Xenopus tropicalis: one gene and its partners. The protein of the gene in region 2 binds, or shares a complex with, the protein of the main gene of each other region. Links are inferred from orthologs where the notes say so. Each region holds a gene or a part of one and is shown on either strand. Other genes may lie near its edges. The genes, in order: pigy, pigq, pigc and pigp.

What was found.
Region 1: pigq (region 2) and pigy share a complex: the UniProt entries of both Homo sapiens proteins name them as parts of the glycosylphosphatidylinositol-N-acetylglucosaminyltransferase (GPI-GnT) complex. The link is inferred for Xenopus tropicalis from reciprocal best matches to the Homo sapiens genes PIGQ and PIGY.
Region 3: pigq (region 2) and pigc share a complex: the UniProt entries of both Homo sapiens proteins name them as parts of the glycosylphosphatidylinositol-N-acetylglucosaminyltransferase (GPI-GnT) complex. The link is inferred for Xenopus tropicalis from reciprocal best matches to the Homo sapiens genes PIGQ and PIGC.
Region 4: pigq (region 2) and pigp share a complex: the UniProt entries of both Homo sapiens proteins name them as parts of the glycosylphosphatidylinositol-N-acetylglucosaminyltransferase (GPI-GnT) complex. The link is inferred for Xenopus tropicalis from reciprocal best matches to the Homo sapiens genes PIGQ and PIGP.

Annotation. Positions count from the first base shown.
Region 1 is NC_030677.2:67,793,020-67,799,013, reverse strand, and holds pigy (phosphatidylinositol N-acetylglucosaminyltransferase subunit Y precursor), read left to right. Parts: upstream 1-1,897; 5' UTR 1,898-2,095; intron 2,096-3,077; exon of another isoform or gene 3,078-3,120; coding exon of another isoform or gene 3,121-3,338; intron 3,339-4,636; coding exon of another isoform or gene 4,637-4,787; 5' UTR 4,788-4,823; coding exon 4,824-5,039; 3' UTR 5,040-5,328; downstream 5,329-5,994. UniProt on the Homo sapiens protein: Part of the glycosylphosphatidylinositol-N-acetylglucosaminyltransferase (GPI-GnT) complex that catalyzes the transfer of N-acetylglucosamine from UDP-N-acetylglucosamine to phosphatidylinositol and participates in the first step of GPI biosynthesis.
Region 2 is NC_030685.2:21,238,666-21,244,231, reverse strand, and holds part of pigq (phosphatidylinositol N-acetylglucosaminyltransferase subunit Q), read right to left. Parts: intron 5,227-5,566; coding exon 5,106-5,226; intron 4,760-5,105; coding exon 4,633-4,759; intron 4,463-4,632; coding exon 4,309-4,462; intron 2,533-4,308; coding exon 2,421-2,532; intron 2,328-2,420; coding exon 2,247-2,327; intron 787-2,246; coding exon 672-786; intron 95-671; coding exon 33-94; intron 1-32. UniProt on the Homo sapiens protein: Part of the glycosylphosphatidylinositol-N-acetylglucosaminyltransferase (GPI-GnT) complex that catalyzes the transfer of N-acetylglucosamine from UDP-N-acetylglucosamine to phosphatidylinositol and participates in the first step of GPI biosynthesis.
Region 3 is NC_030680.2:107,289,431-107,295,577, reverse strand, and holds the start of pigc (phosphatidylinositol N-acetylglucosaminyltransferase subunit C), read right to left. Parts: upstream 3,702-6,147; 5' UTR 3,676-3,701; intron 1-3,675. Other genes in the region: suco (SUN domain-containing ossification factor), read left to right, coding at 4,229-4,278. UniProt on the Homo sapiens protein: Part of the glycosylphosphatidylinositol-N-acetylglucosaminyltransferase (GPI-GnT) complex that catalyzes the transfer of N-acetylglucosamine from UDP-N-acetylglucosamine to phosphatidylinositol and participates in the first step of GPI biosynthesis.
Region 4 is NC_030678.2:12,649,904-12,654,635, reverse strand, and holds the end of pigp (phosphatidylinositol N-acetylglucosaminyltransferase subunit P), read right to left. Parts: coding exon 4,697-4,732; intron 2,718-4,696; coding exon 2,605-2,717; 3' UTR 1,656-2,604; downstream 1-1,655. UniProt on the Homo sapiens protein: Part of the glycosylphosphatidylinositol-N-acetylglucosaminyltransferase (GPI-GnT) complex that catalyzes the transfer of N-acetylglucosamine from UDP-N-acetylglucosamine to phosphatidylinositol and participates in the first step of GPI biosynthesis.

The DNA of each region.
Region 1 (5,994 bases), on a different chromosome or scaffold from region 2:
ATGGAGAGAGCATTCTGCATCTTGTTAAACTGCCAGTGGGTTTCTGTTGTTATCCTTGTATGTTCCCTGTGTGAGGGCAGGTGTTGATCGAGTGCCTGCAATGTGGAGCAACTGCCTATCCAAAGGGAGTGGTACTTTGGGGCAGGTAGCACTACAGGGGAAACTAAAGAACTCTTGGGGAAGGGACTTTGCCAGAGACTGAACTGGGAAAGGGTATTTCCACCAGGAAAGAAGTGTGGGACTGTGTCCTAGGAGAGACTGTGCCAAAAGTTTAGTTAAAATGCATGTTAAATGAAACATGCATTTCCCAAAGCAGGGTCATATTATTTGCCTTTTACAGTGATTACATTTTTCTAAATTGCTATATAAAGTTTATCTTTTCTGCAAACTGTGTGTGATTTATTTTTCTAGTGGAATCCCCCTGAGGTGTGCTCCTCAGTGACCACTAGGTGGAGGCACTGCACTGTAAAACCCAGTTCCCAGAAGTGAGTGTAATCCAATTTCTGCAGAAGTGTGCCAAAAATAGGTTACAGGGGAAAAATGAGAGGATGATAGGTGCACTTTAAAGCTTATTTCCTTTTAAATGGAATTTGGTTCAAGCTACAGACTTAAGCCCTACCTCCCGTTTTGCTGCCCCAAAAGCTTGCTAGCCCTAGCCTCCCATATGTTTGTGCCTGAAACTGTTTCCCTATTTAAGGGGTAGCTTAATTAAATAGAAAAGTCATTCCTGAAAAATCCCTTGCTAGTTACTGGCTTTTACTAATGAGGGACATTTAACAATGAGGTGCTCAAAAGACTTCTGCCCTTTTAGATCAGATTCTGTTCAGGCTACAGACTCTGACCTTATCTCCCAATTTGCTGACAAGTAGCTTGCTGGCCCTATCCTCCCCTTAGTCTGTGCATATAACTGCGTTACTATTCTTTCTTGGGATAGCTTGAGTTGAAGGAAAAATATTAGTGCAGGACCAAAACAGCTCCCTAGTGTTCTGTTAATTCAACCACATCGGATTGTCCTAACCAAATAGGTCCCTAAACTCCACCTAACCCAGAAAACAGTCAAGCCACCCAGGGCGCGCTGGCTTTCTATTAGGGATGCACCGAATGCACTTTTTTTTTAGCATATGCTAATTAGGATACGGAAGGGTTAAATTTCTAACTTCCGTGTTTATGTGACAAAAAGTCACGTGATTTTTAAGATTCGGATTCAGTTCTGCCAGGAGCCGAAAAAAGCATAATCTTGGCCAAATCCTGGATTCGGTGCGTCCCTACTTTCTATCCACTACCTGACATATAATGAATAGAGTTGCCTCCCAGCAGTTATTTTACAGGCCTGACCAATAAAACTGAAATTTGATTCCAACAGTACTAATAGACAAGATAGCTACCAACAAGAGAAGGAATGGTATTTTTTGTAGAAAAGGTGGCAACACTAACAGTAATTCACCAGCTTCTCTATGCACACTCATGACAACCAGCTCCCCTAATGATCAAATACCCCTTGCAGCCGGTTAGCCTGCTGCCATGTTGTTTTAATTACTGCTGGCTTAGAACAAACTGGCCATACACACATCAATAAAATCATACAAAACCTAGTCTCAAACAATTTTTGGACCGTGTGTGGTCTCAGAATAATCGCCCCCAAAGTTTGTCAGAAGAAGAACTGAACTTGTATGGAAAATAAGGAAGATAAGATCCAGCCACAGCAATGTAAAATGTCCCTGTGCACAGGAAATTGCAGCAGACAGAACAATCTTTATCTAGTGTCCATTTTAAGATATCTGTGTGTGTTCAACTCCCTCCCCACCACAGAAGCCCCCCCCCAGCTCCCTACCTGTCACATACCCCATCCGACTAGCTCCATACTCCCCCTGACTTCCTCCCTGTTTTATCCATGCTGTAGCTTTCTACCTTGTCTACTCCCTACTCTGTGATTCTTTGTGCTGCAGCATTCTATACTACCCGCAACCTGTTCAGTGCAGTATCAGACTGGGCTGCTGGGGTACTGGGAAAAAAACCTGTTGGTCCCCGGCGGGCCAGATCCCCTCCCCCAGGGCTCTCCCGCGATCCACCGTCACCCTCCCCCAACATACCGCAGGTAAGTTTCTTTTAGAAGCATGGTCGGAGGGTGTTTGGGGCCTCTGCAGGGGTTGGGGGGGGCTGGGGTTCCTGAGGCAGAAGCCCCAGTGAGCCCTGCACCCCCCAGCCCGACCCTGTTTCTGTGTCCTATAGGGTTCTCAATTTATTGCCCATGAACCTTTTCAATGATCTATATATATGCTGTGCCTTTCCAGCTTTCATTTGTATTTTGCCTGACGAAGGGGCCTGGGTGCTTCAACACAGGGTCAGACTGCGGAGTGAAGGGCCCACTGGGGCTCCCGCCCCAGGGGCCTTGTAGGTGCCCGTGCAGGGCCCCCCACCTGACATCCTCCCCCGAGCGTGTAAATTTAACACGTCAGGGGAGGAGCACTCGGGCAGGGGGAGCATCGGCAAGGGTCGGGTCTGGGCCGCCAGGGCCCACTTTTCCCGGTGTCCCAGCGGCCCAGTCCGACCCTGCTTGGACAGCTTGCAATTTTTCTTACTCAGCCAATAAAAGGTATCAGATTTTCTGCATTGTTTTTAATGGCTAACACAGTACAACATCTTAATTCCATAGGATTCCACAGTGAACAAAGCTTTTTGCTTTTAACAGGAATACTGTTACTGTATTCCTGTTTACCTATAACTTATTTTGAGCACTGTTAGAAATTAAATTGCTACCACCTGTCAGGCAATGTGGGCTGGTACCTGGTTTAACACAAATACAGAAGGAAAAATCGCCTGGCAGTGAATGGGTTACATATCTGTGATCGCAGGAATCAAAGGGCAAACCAGATTCAAGCAATAATATCAAGTAAAGGTAGTTTAACATTACAGAAAGACTTTAATCACAACTCTTTCAGATATATTTTGAGGGTTTTGCAGGCTGTGGGTTTATATAGTTACATGCACATGGTAGGAACCACTGAGACTGCTTTGTGTCGTGTGAGGGGCTGTTTATAGTGCTGCACAGGAAGAAGGGGTGGAATCGTTCCTGGGAAGTAAAGGTTGTGTGTCAGTCAGTTTCTGTGCAGAAAGTGGAACATGCTGGCTGTCAGGGCATGGGGAAGAACATATAATACCTTAGTCCAGCGGAAACTAAACGCTGCCTGTCCCACTGGCGCCCTGCCAGCTGTCACACTGCGGCCCTTGCACTGCTCTTTAGTTGCCAGATCCCCGGAACAGAGCCTGAAGGACAGCAAGACGTTTGATCCTACCCTCTTGCAATTCCTGGTCTGCCCTCTCTCAAGGAAATCGCTGAGGTAAAATACCTGGCACTGGGTTAAAGGGCTCTGATACAGTCAGTATACTGCTGCTGGGTGGGGGGGTCATTAAGATCACCTATGATCCTAAGCATTGCTTCCCCCCAGAGGTGCGGGCTACAATACAAGGATACTGCCCCCTGCAGTGCTGGGCTGCCCCTAGTTTGAGCAAAGTGTCCCATCAGACTTGGGTTTCTCTGACTTAAAGTTATAGCCACGTATTGTTCTATTTATAATTTCTAATTAATTACCCTTTAGAAAGACTATATTGATATTAACCATTAGCCAAATGTTAGGGCTTATATTGAAAATATCGCTGCTTATTTTTATTGAAAGGGGAACTACAGTTTATGAACCAAAATTTGTTAAAGAGCCCAACACAGAAACCCCTAATATACCTAGCACTGTAAACTGTTTCTTTCTGCTAAACCTTCTAACCTTCTTTCTGCATTATTTAAAATCCTGGGAAGAGGATTAAAGAAGAGGGACTAAAACACTGATGTTACAAATTGTAACAACTTCTCCACATCTTACAGACAGCACTCAGAAACTACATTACCCACAATGCATTGCCCAGTGATGTTATTTTCCCTATTCCTTATTATATGTGCGGGGAATTGTGGTAACTGGAGAAGGCAGGCTGAGGACAGTCTACTGCATTTTATTTGAGTCTCAAAGTAGTCAGTCAGGTCAGCAGGGGAACAGGGTGTCCCATACACCTAAGCCTGTACTCTGTATAGGGAAATATTCAGTTTATTAACAGCAAGCAGATGTCTCTTTGCTATTTCAAGCTTAACTAGAACTCCTAAATGCATTTTATATATATTATATATATATATATATATATATATATATATATATATATATATATATTGAAAAAAAGACCAGCAACACCGGATCTATTGCAAACAATCAATTATATATTGAAAAATACATGAACAGCCAACGTTACGTTTCGGTCTTGAGAAAGGTCCCGACGGGGACCGAAACGTAACGTTGGCTGTTCATGTATTTTTCAATATATAATCGATTGTTTGCAATAGATCCGGTGTTGCTGGTCTTTTTTTCAATATTTAAACTCTTTTACCGTGCACCCGGGACAAGGATTGAAGCGGTGTGCCACCCTTGGCTCGATATATATATATATATATATATATAATATTGATTATGGAATGACGCTTGTGGTTTGAAATGTACTGATTTTGGTGATCAAATTTCCCGACATTAAATATAAACGGCTGTGATTCCCCATTCATTGATCCAGATCTGATTGTTTATATGTCATTTTTTTTCCCTAGATATGAAGAATCTACCAATGAGTTAATTAATGACGAGCTGGGTATAGCTTACCCAATTGTTGATGGCATCCCAAATATGATACCACAGGATGCCCGCATGATTCATAAAGATCAGAAGCCTGAGAGCCCAGACACAGAGCAGACAACATAGTTTTTTGGATTTGTTCCTGCAAACAATAAAGAAGCCATGTTTTTCTCCCTCCCTGTGCTGACTGTGCTCATTCCTCTGGTGTCTTTGACAGGGTTATTATACTCTGCCTCAGTGGAAGAGGATTTCCCAAATGGATGCACCAGTACAGCAAGCTTGTGTTTTTACAGCCTTCTGCTTCCCATCACTTTGCCTGTCTATGTGTTTTTTCATTTGTGGACTTGGATGGGACTCAAGCTCTTTAGGCACAATTAATGCATAAATGAACAGAAAATATCTCATTCATCCTTCTGCTTTCAGATAAGATATGGAGAACATGTTTTCAGATTGGTCGGTTACAGCTTTGCATAGAAATATTAACATTTAATAGAAATAAAATGAATGTAATTGTTTTGATTTTTGTACTTTCCTTTCTATTTGAGCTCCTTTAAAGACTCTATTCCTAAAGGTACACTTACCTGGGTGCTGCCCCATTTGTAAGTTAATAGGAGCTGCTCTCTGGCAGCTTATGTGCTTAACAATAAAATTGAAAGCAAAAAATGCATCCTAGTTACTGATGCAATAATTGTCGGAGTGTGGGGTGCAGGGCTCACCGGGGCTGCCGCACGTGTAAATTAAAATTACTTTTAGCACGTTGGGGAAGGGAGATCTGGGGCCCAGTCCTACCCTGCTTGCTTTCTTTAAAGTCATTTAAAATCGTCATTCCAAGTCCCTTTTCTATATTATTATTGACAGTAATGAAGTGCTGGCTGCTGGGGTCAGTGACTTCCATTTGAAAGCTGAAAAGAGACTGAGGAGAAAAGCAAATAATTCAGAAACTATAAAGAAATGAATGCCAGTTCTATAACATACTAAAAGTTAACCTAAAGGTGAACCACCCCTTTTATGCCTTAGTTTATACATTCAGTATATACATCCATGCAGGCCCTTCTGGGAGAACATGAGGTTTCATCAAGTAGTGGTTATCTACTTTACATGTGGAAGGGAAATCATTGTAGGTGACTATTGACAATGTCATGAAACCAAAAGATAAAAGGGGATATTTATAATGGCTGCAAAGTGGAAAAAGACACAGTTGGCTGTTTTTTACACTTTGCCAGAATGGGGCATTGTGCAAATAGCCACAGGCCTCTAAACTCTGGCAGAGAGAACCTTGAATCGACTGCTGCCTGTGCTAGAGAGAGCTTAGTTCAAAAGAGGCATGCTGGGA
Region 2 (5,566 bases):
CCCTTTTGAATGTAAAACAGAGTTGGCATTACCTGCATAAGCAGTCGAAGGGGCTTCCCAGTCTGTTGTTCCAGCATACGGAATTTTACACCAGCTTAAAAAAAAAAAACAGATAATGAATGAGCCAAGCATGTGTTTGAAATTTGTGGGGAAGATGCATACATGGGACAATTTCAGCTGGCAATATTGGTCCTTTAGACTGATTTGGCAGCTTATCTGCCAGTGTATGGGCACCAATGACGGGCCTCCTTGACCGACATAGGTAGGTATATCGGGAGAAGATCTGCTTGCTTGACAACCTCACCAAGTGAGCAGATTTTACAGTGTATGGCCACCTTTACAATACAATACCTTTACAATACAGATCAGGCCTGACCATTAGGAAACAGACTATTGGTGAACATGTGTTTTAAAGTTTTATGCTGCTAATAACTGCCTGCTGGCTCAGCAGCTCATAATGAGAGGTGAGTTCTTTTAACAGGCAGCCAGCATCTCCAGTGAAGCACCACTCTTCATATTCCTCTATGTTCCCTCTTCAGTTTTAGCAATGTGCAGCCAGCCCGAGGGAAGCCCCATACACATTTCCTGGCTTTTTTCAGTTACATGCTACAATCTGAGCAGCATAAACAGCAGGGTTTGCATCAAAGAGTTATTATACAAAAGCTGCTCACCTGCCAACCTGTACGACCTGCAGAGGCGCAAGACCATAGCATAAAGTGGGAGAGTGTTCAGCAGATCTACAATCAAATGGATGACACCCTGAACCAGGACCACAAGCAGACGTAGCTGTCCAAGACAAGTAAAATAAAAAGATGAAAGAGGTCCTACCAGATTACTTGACATACCAAGATGTTCCATTCCAATAATAATTTATAGTATGATTTCCCCTTTGTTCCAGCACTGTATTCCATTTATTCTTAGGGTTAGTGCCACACAGGGCTGATTCAGCCTCCTACCTTGCCTGCACCCGGAAGTATTGTCCAAGTGCAAGCAGACACTGTGGATATTGGCTGTGAAATGCAAACTCTTGCGTTTTTGGCTGGTATTCACCACATCTGTCTGCACTCAGGTGAACACAATGCTTCCGGGTGCAGGCATGGAGTCTGGTGCCAGCATAGGGGCTGATTCTCAGCCTGGATTTTTCTGCAGGCTGTGACACTAGCCTAAAAGTGATTCTGTGACACTAGCCTAAAAGTGATTCTGTCATGATTTTCACTCTACCATTTAAAATTTTATTCTTGAACCAACAAATGTATTTATTTTAGCTGTAATATTGGTGTGTAGGTGCCATCTCAGTGCATTGTGCCTGAGTCTGAGCTTTCAGAAGAAGCCTGCGCTACACATTAGGGCTCTGGCACACGGGGAGATGTAAGTCGAAATTGCCTCGCGAGGCAACTTCGGCGATTTGCTGAAATCGCCTGCGCAGTGTGTTCCATCCCACCTGCGACTTGCATTTTCGCTGGTGGGATGGTAGTTCGGGCAGATTAGTCGCCCGTGACAAGGAAGATTTGTCGCGGGCGACTAATCTCCCCGTGTGCCAGAGCCCTTAGAACTGCTTTCAGCTAACCTATTGTTTCTCCTACTCCCATGTAACTGGAGGAGTCCCAAGCTGGACTTGGATTTCTTACTATTGAGTGCTATTCTGATACCTACTGGGAGCTGCTATCTTGCTCCCTTCCCATTGTTCTGCTGATCGCCTACTGGGGGGGATATCACTCCAACCTGCAGTTCAGCAGTAAAGTGTGGCTGAAGCAGAGCACAGGTCACAAGGCAGTGGCACCCTGGGAAATGAAGAATATGGCTAGCCCCATGTGACATTTCAAAATTAAATATAAAAAAGTTTGTGTTTTTGAAAAACAGATTACAATGCAGGATTTTGCTAGAGAAGCTCTATTAACTGATGCGTTTTGAAAAAAACATGTTTTCCCATGACAGTATTTCTTTAAGATTCAATGTAATTGGCTCTGTTCTTCAGCGAATATTATATCACATAAAGTTTGATGCCTGGGCTTCCAAAAAAACAAAGGGGCAAATTTAGCAAACATCAAATTTCTTTGATGGTTACTCAAGTTAATATTTGCCATTTGGCTCTGGGCACACACCACTGGCAAGTGTATCTATGAGTCTATGTCCATGTAATCAGTCCTAAAACCACAAATTAGATGTCTATTATTTATTTAGCTATTGCATCAATGTGAAATGTTATTTTTAGGTTCAATATGTTTAGGTTTTAGATAAACACGTACCAGAGTAAATACCAGGTAATACAGGGCTGTGGTTGGCAGGAGAAACAGCAGGATTGTAAAGAGCAAGGTCCCAAGAAAAAGCTGCAATAGAAAAGAGCAGAGATAAGCCTGAGGTATAATCCTGTGCTGCACTATGTATGCTTTCCCTAGGCAGCTGCAACCAGGCCGAGGTACCTGATCCAAATCATAAGAGCAAGAGTCCACTCGCTGGCGAAGAACATTCCACTTCTTGCCCCGGAAGAGACGCCAGAGAGAAGAGAGTCCGTGCATCTTGAAGCAATACAGGCTAGTGTAAAAGAAGGGACAGTTTATCACTTGTACTCCCAGAATTTAAGAGACAGGGGATAGCACACTATAATGATACATAAGTAAAGTAGATGTTCTATGTAGCATTTCTACTGCAATAATCATAGTAATCATAATAACCATAAGGAAAAACATGGTGAGGCTCTTTTATAAACACTGCACGAATTTGCAGCTGGGCAGAAACCCATGACAAGCAAATATTTGCTTTTACTGTTCAGCCAGCAATCCAGCCACTGATTGGTTGCTATGGGTCACTGCCTGCGTGCAAATCTATCCATTGCGATACTTCATGCAAACTGGTTATGGAACGGAACCTATGGAGAAACTATTACAAAGGGTTCCAAATCTTACAATACACAATTCAGTAGGTATTAAAAGTAGTTTAGATGCCAGTTACAGATACTTCCAGCTCGTGTAGTTTACCGGGTGTCCAAACCTGGCTGCAAAATTCTCAGGCAAAAAGGTTTTATCTGCATTGTGTCCCTAAATATTATGGGATACTGCTTTTTCTAAAGCTCCTAAAGCAACCAATAGGTATACATAACCGTAGACACCTGTCACTTAAACATAATGTTGTCTTAAAGGGATGGTTCACCTTTTGAATTAACTTTTAGTATGATGTATAGCTTGATATTCTGAGCCAAGTTGCAATTGGTCTTTACTTTTTATTTTGTGTGTGTGTTTTTCTTTTTTTTTTAATTATTTAGCTTTTGGTTGAGCAGTTTGGAATTTTAGCAGCTACCTGGTTGCTAGTGTTCAAACTACCCTAGCAACCTGAAACTGGAATATAAATAGGAGAGTGGCTAAACAGAAGTAATAAAAAGTAGCAATAACAACAAAATTGGAGTCTCACAGACCAATAGTTTTTTGGCTACTGGGTCAGTGACCTCTATTTAAAAGCTGGAAAGAAGTAAAAAATAAAGACAATAGTTGTATAGAATCAGTCATTCTATAACATATTAAGTTAACTTAAAGGTGAACTACCTCTTTACATATCCCAGAGAGGGTTGGCATTACAAGGGATCGCAATGCTGTACAGACAAGTCTAGCTAAAACTCAGTTGCTCTTGCAAAGGCCCACCTTCCCAAGCTACACCATCTACAGTCCAAAATTGCAACTCTGCTCCTCTGTACTTGATTGTTAAGGGCAGATTGGAGCAGAAGGGTTAGAGTTTGCCATGTGTTTGTAGTTGAAGTCAGGACCAGGCAATCAGTGAACATTGCCAAAGAGCCTGTGACAGGAAGACAAAAATGGTATGGGGGACGGTGGGTAGTGGGCTTTGGGAATGATGCCTCTGCAGGGACCCTAAGTTGTATTCATTTCTTTCATTCTCCTTTAGCTACAATATTTACAATGGCAGTTAAGTTCTTCTAGACCAGTGATCCCCAACCAGTGGCTCATAAGCAACATTTTGCTCCCAGAGGCCCCAAAGTAGGTGCCCATTTTTAAATTTCTGGCTTGGAGGCAAGTTTTGGAAGCACAGAGACATAGTTTTACTCCAAGCAGAGCCTCCTGCAGGCCAGCAGTCCCCATAGGGCTACCAAATAGCCAATGACAGCCCTTATTTGGCATCCCCACAGAACTTTTTTTAATGCTTGTGTGGCTCCCCAACACTTTATACATCTGCGTGTGGCTCATAAGTAAAAAAGGTTGGGGATCCCTGGTCTAGACCCTAGATAAGTAGTATTTTATGAATATTAGTTAAGGCAAATTCAATACAAAATATTGCCTTAAAAGGCAATATTTGATCACTCACCGAGCTCCATAAACATAGAAACAATATATATGAAATGTAAGGAGGGCAATGATATCCGAGAGGATGGACAGAGCAACTGACAAGCCCAGACAGGCTGACAAGCCAATGTACCACAGGATGACTTCGATAAATGGGGACATCAGGCGAATGTAACCTGCGCAGGAATACAATTAGGAAAATATGTAGTATTAATAAAGTAAATGGGCTCAAGTCCAAACACATGCCTTTGCATTACTATCAGATTTGCTTTTAAGTTTTTATAAACCAAACAAAAGGGATAAAGGAAAGAATTAAAAATGAGAGAAGGAAATGGGTATAGCTTACTGATCCAGAGGTGGATATGGTACAAAAAGAAGCGTCCCAAGACTTCATCCAGAGCTCGGTTCATTTTTAATCCAGCCGGAGCACCCATAAGCCACTGCAGCAGCCCCTGCAGCTCCAAAGCAACACGCTAATGGGAAAAGAGAGACAGAAGGAAATTGGGATGCATGCTAACAATAAAAAACCTGATTAGTACTTTTTATTATTTTAAAGAGGGATGCGTTTTAACCATATGTCTTATGGGGCATTTGGTCACTGCTGCCTGTGCAAATGCCCCTCATCCCTTCTCACAGTAATTTGTATGAATTACTGTGATTTACACTTAAAATTAAATTTAGTCCGCCTACAACATGGTAAAAGTTCATTTAAAGGCAAACTTCCCCTTCAAAATGGGAGGTTATGTTTCTTAGCTGCTTACAAAAACATGAACCAAGGGTTTTGTGGGTTGAAATTCAGGTTCCCTGTGTATGACTTACATCAGCAACGGGCATGAGTGTGTCGGCCAGCTGACTGATTCGGTTCTCTCTGTACAGCCAGGACATCAGTAAAATCCCCAGGGCCATGTCTAATAGAATGGAAACGACAGTGTTGGACTTCCTGAAAAATAACAAGCAAATGGTACATTTATGCACTTTGGAGAGACATCTTGAGGAAGCAAGCAGACTAGCCAAGTGGCTTAAAGAGAGCACTAGGCAGGAGTCACGGGTGCTTTCTAGCTGCCTTAAAAGCAATGTGACTGCTGTTGGCGGTAAACATATTCTGGCCTAGAAGTAAATGCATTACCAAGTAGGTGAGCTTGCACATACATGCTGTTAAGTGTATGGTGGGCAAAATAATCCCTAATAAATAGAGAACACCTATATGCTGAAATCCAGCTGCAAAACAGTTCTTCTCTTTCTGCATCATTTGAAATCCTGGCAGGGGAGGAGGGACTAAA
Region 3 (6,147 bases), on a different chromosome or scaffold from region 2:
TGAACATATTCTCAGATCTACCAATGCACCGATCAAAGTCTAGTGGTACAAATAACTGCTCCAACTCAGTCAGATGGATACTTTAGTCATGAACTTGATTCAATATTCATCTATGGATAAACTACCTGATAGCTACATAGATCCTGTTTACTACATTGGCCAAATGTACATTATTTTCACTCCAAATAAACAAAGGCTGACATGCTCCCATCTTAAGCTAGCCATACATTGCATTTTCGTATGGTTTTCAAACCGTGTGTGGGCTACGAATTAGTGTCCTGATAATTTTCATACCATAGCAATCAGTAATTTAGTCGATCGGACAGGTTAGAAAATTTAAGTTGGATGAAGATAAAATCTGTGCATCTGTGTCCTTGGGGGACCTAAAATGCATTCCCAGAAAGTTACTTTCATACGATTAGCCAACTTTCCCACATACAAAACATTGTCCAATGGCTTTATCCTACAATTTTAGTCTGAATTTTAGTTTTAGATCGTTGCATTTAAACATACAATGCATATCCGAATGTTCACTGGAAGAAGACTAAAATTTGATCATGTATGGCCATCTTAAAACTGGAGTGTACTTATAGAAGCCTTCACACTGCAGTGATGCCACATTTTGCTGCAACTGCAATTGTGCTTCAGACAATAATAAAGGCAACAAAGTGTGGGCCAATAGGAAGTGCTTTTGACTACAGCATTTGTAAGCTGTGGGGCTCAAGAGGTTTAGGGTGCCCTAAAATAATTCTGCTGCAAGCAAACAGATTATAAGCCTCTGTTCTATTTCTTGTACAAAAGCTAGTTTCATGAATTAACATGTAGAAGAACTTGGTATAATAAGATGTAACATTTTTATGTGAAGTGGAATATGCGCTATGTGCAATTCCGGCTCACTGAATAACAATGGGCAAATCTGCACAAGTGTGGTCACCCAAAGCAACAGTCAGCAATTTAAATTACCCAATTTGAAATCCCATTATCTCACAATGACAAAAGTCAAACTAACTCCTAATATTAGAGAAAATCAACACAGAAAATGTGGAATTTCTTTCTTCTGATCACACAAAAGATATGGTAAAAATAAAAGAAGCAATGTCCTACGCTACCTTTATAATACCATGAGCAAAATGCATATGCTTTAACAGCTTCATGGAATATGTTTCTCTTCTGAATTGTGTTTACTCTGGTGTGAGACAGGCAGGGGGTAGTGGCAGAGATTTACTGACCTGGAAATATTCTATTTGCAGATCAAAATGACCTGTGTTTTTAATCCTCCACCTGATAACAGCACTGCCACGTTGCACTGAGCTTTTTTCAAAGGTAGTTATGTTCTATGTACTTAATAAACAAAGCAGGCTAAACAGTAATCAAGAGACATTTTGCTAAATGTTAGTAGGCACATTTATTTTATAACGAAATGGAAAAGTAGAATACAATTTAATCTTTATGAAAACTTCAGACTCTTTATAATGTAAAAAAAAAAAAAAAAAATCAGTCAGATGAAGCTCAAAAGTAAACAATTTATTGTAAGTGACTTCTTTAGGTTTGCCATGTGGTATAATTAGTCTGGGCACTATTCCGGGCACCTTTGTTAATGGGAATAAATAACTATCTTGCTCTGGACTGCAGCTTATCAAATTTTTGTAGGAAGAAACCAGGTGTTGGTTCACACATTTGACATTGACATATACAGTACAATTCTTCTGCGGAGGAAGCATGCATATACATTGCCGGAACTACACTGCAAATCCATTAAGTAACATGGGTTGTTCTGACCAAACAGAGGGTCTTTTTCAAGTGTAAAAGATTCAAGGGACAAACACAGATTTAAAAAGGAAAATATATGTCTAAAACACATTGGCAAAAAATGAGCACAATAAAAAAAACAAAAAAAAAAAACAACTTATGCTTAAAGGAAAACTATACCCACAAACAATGTAGGTCTCTATAAAAATATATTGCATAAAACAACTCATATGTAAAACCCTGCTTCATCTAAATAAACCATTTTCATAAAAATATACTTTTTTTTAGCAATATGTGCTATTGGGTACTGCTAAATAGAAAATTACCATTTTAAGAAGTAATGGCCGCCTCCTTGGATCATAGTATTAACGGTGCACACAAACAAGCCAAGGCACACATACATGCTAGGCCACATCAGCCAATTATTGGGCAGAGTTCTGCCCATATTATTAACATAATATAAACTATCTGTTGGTTAAGTATTCATTCTGGAGGTATAGTTTTGCTTTAAAATGTATTTTGCCATATACTCCTAATTTTTTTCCATTATAAAGCACTGTTTGAAAAGCCCCTCCTTTATAGACAGGGCAATTTGTTCAGAGATCCTTATTTACCTTCAAACAAATATACAATCCCCTCCCTTCCCTAAGGTGCAGGGTTTGAACAGGAGCTTCTTAGTGGAACAGGAAGTGCTAAAATGAAACTGGTTTCCTTTTCTTATTTTTTTCTTAACGGTTTCTTCATTAAAACAACAGACCTAAGGAATGTATTAACCTGCCTATTACACAGTAACTTGGATAATTCCATCTAATGAAAGGCAACTGCTAAATTTTAGCCTTGCCTCAAACATAGGGGCTGATTTACTAACCCATGAATCCGAAGGGGAAAAATTCAGATTGGAAAACGAACATTTTGCGATTTTTTCGTCGCCGTTACGACTTTTCGTAAATTATCGCGACTTTTTCGTAACCATTACGACTTGCACGAATTGTCGCGACTTTTTCGTAGCCGTTACGATTTGCTCGTATCTTGTCGCGACTTTTTCGTATTGAGCGCTCGTAAACTGCGGGCAAAACTTTCAGACTTAGCATGATTTTGGAAGCCTCCCATAGGACTCAATGGCACTCTGCAGCTCCAACCCGGCCCAAGGGAAGTCTCCCATAGGGCTCAATGGCACTCTGCAGCTCCAACCTGGCCCAAGGAAAGTCTCCCATAGGGCTCAATGGCACTCTGCAGCTCCAACCTGGCCCAAGGAAAGTCTCCCATAGGGCTCAATGGCACTCTGCAGCTCCAACCCGGCTCCAAGACCCTTGATAATGATAATGGTCTTAGGAGGAGACCGAAACGTTGGCCTGTTTTAACAGCATGTTTAAATAAAAGTAACGTTTTAATCTTTAAAAAATATCCTGGTGTGCACCCAATTTTTGGATAATTAGACACATGGAGGTAGCACCCAGGTGATTTATATTAGGGGTTTGGTGTGCTGAAAATTTTGTGGACTGTAATATATATATATATATATATATATATATATATATAGATGAGAGAGAGAGAGAAGGAGCAAGACTACCAACTGGCAACTTAAGAGACAGTATATAAAGGAGGCAGCAGTTACATATTCAAGAGCTCACTTACAAAGTGCAGGGCTGTTGCAAACTACAATTTTGTACTTTTTTCCGCACACTACAGTAGCAAGCCTTTGACTTATGGAACCTACTTTCTGCCGTTCTGTGCGGACACCTACGCAGAGAAGCACTAGCCATATTCCCCCCACCCCATATGTCAAGGCTAATATTGTCGCAACAAACAAAATGAAATGTATAGCAAACCGCAGTGACAGTAGGCAGGTTACAATGTAGGGAAAAACAATGGAGAGACCCTGTGGGTAGCTACCAACTCAAAAGAAAGCTGCCAGTAAGTGGGTACCTGATTTCCTAAAGCCAGGCTTCCGCGTTTCTCCAGCCCCTTGCAACCTTTGGCTGAGCAGCCAATCAAGAGCGGTCGTATCTTGAAATGCTATTGGCTGTCAGAACCCTTTCACTAGAAACAGGAAAGGCCACAATAGTTGCCAGGGGCGCCTTGATTCCAATTCGCTTAACACGAGTCTCCGCCCCCAGTCCATTACAGAGGCCTTGTTGTTCAAAAGAGCTGAGGCATCCTTTCTGGACCAAACCAATGCATTTGAAGGGGGAGGGTTGTAAAGGCTACGTCTGATTCGCTAACCTCGGCCGGAGTGACGCGTCTCCTTCCGCCTAAGCTGGCTGTGCAGTTGGAGGCATTCGCAGGGGATCGGCCGCGTTGGAGGATTGTAGCGTGGTGTGGGCAGTGCTTTTACGAAGGGGAAGTAGGGGAAACAGTGGCACGGCTCTCCCCGGCGCCATACACCAACGGGGACATTTTCAATGGTGGCTTGTACGACTAGTGCTCATTAAAGTACACGGGAAATGCCAGCGAGGATGAGAAAATACGTCCGGGAAAGATGACGAAACGGGTGTTTATTATATTCTGCCTCTTTCTGGTTGGCTCATGGTGAGTGCTTAGGGCCCTGCGCCTGTCTGTTGGAGCGTAAATGCCCACATTGCTGTTACTCGCTGACAGGTAGTCTCGCTGTCATGTACCCTGAATGAAGGGGGGGGGGGGTCTCCCATCATTGTGTGAAAAGCAGTGTCCTAGGAGTCCTGGTCTTAGTATAAATGTAACACTATGCCATTACACCAACAATAATTTCACTTTTTCTTCATGTTCATATGGATGAATTAAATGGAATCTTCTCCTAAAATGTATAATGAAATTGTAATTCCCAGCAGCTTTACAGTATACATTGATTTAAAACACTCAGTGATTTTTAAGCTATTTCTAAATGTAATTGCTGGCTGAAAGTTGTAGCTGCCCTGCTGCTTATATTCTCTGCACTGCTGGCTGTGACTCCTGAAACAATGTAGCAGCATGCATGTCAAAGATTGCTTAGAGTTCTACTTTCTTTCATTATGCCAAAACCGTTTTGCCCCTTAAATAATAACTGGCTAGCTAAGAAAACTTTTCCTTTCGTTAGTACACAGAGAATACCTCTTGGCTTTTATTTTGGCAGAGCTTGAAAGCATAGTCCAGCAACATGTTTAGCTGAGAGATACCATCAGAAATAGTTTCTGTAGGACTTTCCCTAAATGACAGCTGTGTGTTATAATTGGAAGATCTGCAAATTGTGGGTCACAAGCTGCTTGTTATTGCCCCATGTTCATTTGTTGTAATGTATCTTCCTATGGGCTGTGATAAAAAAATTATTTTGAATATCTTTACATTTGCTCATTATATTTCTGACTGCCTATGATTATGAAAGACTTCTGTTTATAGTTATGCTGGGGGAACCAGAATTGGGTCTCATTGGTTTTCCCAGACCTGGAATATCCTGTATCTTTTATATTAAAGTCTTATTTGCATTTAATATAATTATTTTGATTTAGATTTTTATTCACTAGGGAATGCCTACACTGTCATAGATAGAAGTTGGAACTGCTGCTGAGTCAGATTGACAGCATTCTGTTGTATTTAGTTTCAGGGAATGTGATTATGAATGCAGCAGTTGGTATCATTTTAAGGGATGCCGGGGTTGGCAAATTCATATATTGACTAATGGGAAAAAAACTTTCTAATATACATTAATTGAAACTTTTCAGTGTTTTTAGGTTTATTTGCAAATGTAATTGCAATTCAAAGCAGGATGTGCATGGCTCCATATATCCACTACTTCGAACTGTGACTCCTGAAACTATGTATCAAAGGCAGCTGTTTAAAAGACCTGGATTAGAAGTGATTTCTGTTACATTGTTTCAAAAGTCAAAATCAGAAGAAAGTGCAAAGAACAGAAAATGATAATCAAATACTTTTTTTCAGTTACATTTACCAATAGTCAATAGTGAATAATTGAAAAATGTTTAGAATTACTTTTTTTTTTTTACAAAAACAGGTTTTTGTTGGTTGTCTCTTTTGACCCCATAGTATTTGGGACAGCTGCTGTCAGGGATTATCAACAACTGTTTTGCCATAGTAATGTAAGGGCTGAGCATAATAAAGTTAAATAAAGAGTTAAGCTTGACAATGTATGGTATTTGACCAGCTAACCTGTGGGGGCAAACGGATGTATACCATATGAGGGGCCATCTTTCTATTGTTCTGCTTGTTTGGGTCAGAAGGAGGACCTTCTTTTCCTCATCTGCTGCTGTACCATACACTGACTGACATGATGGGATTGGCTGATTACATTTCCAAACCAGCCTGATCAACAAACTTGATATCCATAGTACAAATATATTGTTTGGGATTATCGGTTATAAAATATTGTTTTGATTTTAATTGTACACTGAAAATAAAAAGTCTACAGCCTGCAAAATGGCAGAATGT
Region 4 (4,732 bases), on a different chromosome or scaffold from region 2:
GGTTACAGAATGAAAATGCCCATTACTGCCCCCTATTGATAGTATGGGCTTCTCTTGCTTCTGTAGACACACAGGTCAAGGCACCTAACTGGGTATATAGAGCAGGCAACTTGCTGACACCCTCTGGTTTAATCCAGTTTGGGTTCTAACCACTGTCCAACTGGGCTGACTGGGCCCATCCCCATTTTAAAGCATCCAGCCAACTCCCCGGCGATTTGGGTTCCTTTTGCGGTAACCGAAAACCAATCCCTTTCACCTCCAAACTCGGGTCTATGTATAATATATTAAAAAAATATATATATATGTTTGTGTGCGTGTGTGAACTTCCCCTTTAAAAAAACAAATCACCCACACAGACTGTTTAGAATGCAGCAGAAGAATGATCTCTCCTTCAGAGACTTCAAAATCAAAGTGGCCGTTCTCATAGGGAGTTTTTATTGGTCCAGTCTGTCTAAAAAGGGGAAACCCTAATGGCTGATTCATCACTGATAGGATCTGACTGTGACTTACAGATCTTTCATCTAAAGAGCAGCCAAGGGTCTTTGTGTGTTTTTCCCAGAGGTTTCACCCTTGCAAACTAGGAAGGTAATGGTCACATATTAAACAGGTAAAATATATATCATTATATGTGTAGGGCACTCCATTGCCCCAGTGCAGCAAGGCAGACACTTACAGTTTATTCAATGGGCCACTCAGAGGGCTTGATGGAGGAAAGTGTATTTATATCATCACAAGTCCTGCATTTTCCTTTGCAAGGAGTCTCCTAATTGCATTACTATATAGCCAAGCTTATTATATTGTCAGATTAAGGTTTATAAAGATGTGCAGCCCCTGCCAATTCTACAGTGTGGCAGTTGGGGGCAGGAAGGCCTGCAGGCTCATTAAGGGACATGACAGAGGTAACTGGGGACACATTTGTATGCAACTATCTTTGAAGAAATAATTATCAGCATGGCTATATGCAGAGCTGGGCCAAATGCAATGGGCAAGCCCCCAGCCGTCATCTGCTAGCCAACCCCACCTCTCTGCTCACTGATTCTGATGCGCAGAGCCATAGAGGTATGGTGGCCATACACGGGACGATTCGCTTGTTTGGTGAGGTCGCCAAGCGAGCGGATCTTCTCCCGATATGTGGGAGATATTAGGCTAATTTGATCTTACGGCCCTAGGGCCAGATTCCATCGGATAAGGGAACGCATCAATGAGCCGATGTGGGGGGCCGGCTGGGGGTTCTTCTGGTATTCTGGCAGGCCCATGGACACTGCCAGAACTAGGGGGAGGCAGAAAAGGCACGTGCCTAGGGTGCAACAGTAAGGGGCACTAGGTAGGTACCTCTTCTGCCTACACCTAGTCTGAGCTCTCTTGCCCCACCTGCACTTGTCACTGCATGTCCCACCCACTTATCAAAGCACATATGCGTGCACTGAGGGGATTGGGGCCCCCTAGGGTGCCCGCACCATTTGGCCTACCTCTGAGGGTGAGAATCTTTAGGACCCTGAAATTCCATTTTTTAATCTCTGAAAGGTAAGCATGGTTGGTGGCATTGGAAAGGCTGCTTCAGGGTGCAGAATCGTACCTGGCCAGGCCAGTCCCACCCAGTTATTAAACCCCTTTAGAATATCATGTACATATAAATCATAAACATTCTCGTTTGCTATGTAGCACAGTGTTGCTTTAATGGATTTTGAATAAAACCAAGTGTGTTGAAATACAAATAGCAGGCCTCATGTTTGTATATACAGTGCAAATGACAATACTATAACGAAAGGGATAAAAGGCACGGCAGCTTCTCTGATCATACAGGAAAAACTTAAAGGGAAAGTCCACCTTTATATTAGCATTCAGTATGGATCCATTCTGAGCAAATTTGTAACTAGTCTCTATTAGTTATTTGGTATAGCTTGTCACAGAGAAACCTATCTAGTTTGCCATCTCTGACCCCACCAACCAGAAAAAGAAATCAATTTGGAGGGTTCAATTGTATTTGGGGTGGCCACCTGGCCAGTAAAAAAAATGCTCAAAGTTTTAATAGGAAAAAAACATAAAAAATCTAGGAAAGCCAGCATTTGTTTTTCCAGAAAAGGCAACAACCCTAATTTTACTGCTCTTATTTTTAGATGTTTATCTTTCTTTTCTAGCTCTCTCCTATTGATCTTCCATCATACTGATTTTTAAACTGCTAATTGGTTGCTAAGATCATTGAGCACTAGCAACCAGATAGCAGCTGAAATTCCAAGCCTCAGTGTTGCAGAGCAAAAAATGGTTTGTATGGGTTTTCAAAATGACAAATATTAAATAATCACTAATTGCAAACTGTCTTAGAATTCCAATAAAAGTGAATTTCAAGGTAAACTGCTTTTTTTTTTATATAGCAAGTGAAGTGGCAGCACAGTATAAATGTGACTGGGAGCATAGACCTCTGCAGAATCTGCTGTTCCCACATCTCCAAGTCTGCGCATTTGCACCTCTAAATAAAACACTTGCACCCATTGGTTTATGGGGCCCAAGTAAAAAAATAAATAAATAAAACACAGTCCAGAAATATATAGCTACATGAATTATCATAAAGAATGGGGTTTTGTGGGTCCGAAGGATCTTCCGGCATCATCTCTCAGTGAGGAAGAACATTTTATTAACCTCGCTGATGGAAATGTCCCTCAGTGCTGGGATGGCATCCTCTTGGCACGCCTTCTCTTGCTGATTTTTGGCATAAGAGTCTGGAAATTGTGGTAAAAATTTACAAATTACAACACTCAGTGGCACTGAAAGAACAGGTACCGCTGATCATCTATTAGCTCTGAGCGGCACTGGGAGTTCTTGAGGTTGCCCATAACTGCAATAAACTGCACTAGGATATTGGCCAATCTAGTGGCTGCTTTCAGTCTGTATACCCAGCATGCATTGCAATCCTTGGGCTGACAATGTAGCACCAAGGGAGGTTATTTACAGAATATATATATATATATATATATACAGTGGTGTGAAAAACTATTTGCCCCCTTCCTGATTTCTTATTCTTTTGCATGTTTGTCACACAAAATGTTTCTGCTCATCAAAAACCGTTAACTATTAGTCAAAGATAACATAATTGAACACAAAATGCAGTTTTTAAATGAAGGTTCACGTTATTAAGGGAGAAAAAAAACTCCAAATCTACATGGCCCTGTGTGAAAAAGTGATTGCCCCCCTTGTTAAAAAATAACTTAACTGTGGTTTATCAATTTCAATTTTCAATTTCAATATCAATTTCTGTAGTCACCCCCAGGCCTGATTACTGCCACACCTGTTTCAATCAAGAAATCACTTAAATAGGAGCTACCTGACACAGAGAAGTAGACCAAAAGCACCTCAAAAGCTAGACATCATGCCAAGATCCAAAGAAATTCAGGAACAAATGAGAACAAAAGTAATTGAGATCTGTCAGTCTGGTAAAGGTTATAAAACCATTTCTAAAGCTTTGGGACTCCAGCGAACCACAGTGAGAGCCATTATCCACAAATGGCAAAAACATGGAACAGTGGTGAACCTTCCCAGGAGTGGCCGGCCGACCAAAATTACCCCAAGAGCGCAGAGACAACTCATCCGAGAGGCCACAAAAGACCCCAGGACAACATCTAAAGAACTGCAGGCCTCACTTGCCTCAATTAAGGTCAGTGTTCACGACTCCACCATAAGAAAGAGACTGGGCAAAAACGGCCTGCATGGCAGATTTCCAAGGCGCAAACCACTTTTAAGCAAAAAGAACATTATGGCTCGTCTCAATTTGCTAAAAAACATCTCAATGATTGCCAAGACTTTTGGGAAAATACCTTGTGGACCGACGAGACAAAAGTTGAACTTTTTGGAAGGTGCGTGTCCCGTTACATCTGGCGTAAAAGTAACACAGCATTTCAGAAAAAGAACATCATACCAACAGTAAAATATGGTGGTGGTAGTGTGATGGTCTGGGGTTGTTTTGCTGCTTCAGGACCTGGAAGGCGTGCTGTGATAGATGGAACCATGAATTCTACTGTCTACCAAAAAATCCTGAAGGAGAATGTCTGGCCATCTGTTCGTCAACTCAAGCTGAAGCGATCTTGGGTGCTGCAGCAGGACAATGACCCAAAACACACCAGCAAATCCACCTCTGAATGGCTGAAGAAAAACAAAATGAAGACTTTGGAGTGGCCTAGTCAAAGTCCTGACCTGAATCCTATTGAGATGTTGTGGCATGACCTTAAAAAGGCGGTTCATGCTAGAAAACCCTCAAATAAAGCTGAATTACAACAATTCTGCAAAGATGAGTGGGCCAAAATTCCTCCAGAGCGCTGTAAAATACTTGTTGCAAGTTATCGCAAACGCTTGATTGCAGTTATTGCTGCTAAGGGTGGCCCAACCAGTTATTAGGTTCAGGGGGCAATTACTTTTTCACACAGGGCCATGTAGGTTTGGATTTTTTTTCTCCCTAAATAATAAAAACCCTCATTTAAAAACTGCATTTTGTGTTTACTTGTGTTATCTTTGACTAATAGTTAAATGTGTTTGATGATCAGAAACATTTTGTGTGACAAACATGCAAAAGAATAAGAAATCAGGAAGGGGGCAAATAGTTTTTCACACCACTGTATATATATATATATATATATATATATATATATATACACACACACACACATATACACTAGATTCTATATACTGTAGCCAGAGTCCCACTTACCTGTTACAGTGTGTATGGAGTCTAGGGGAGCAGTGC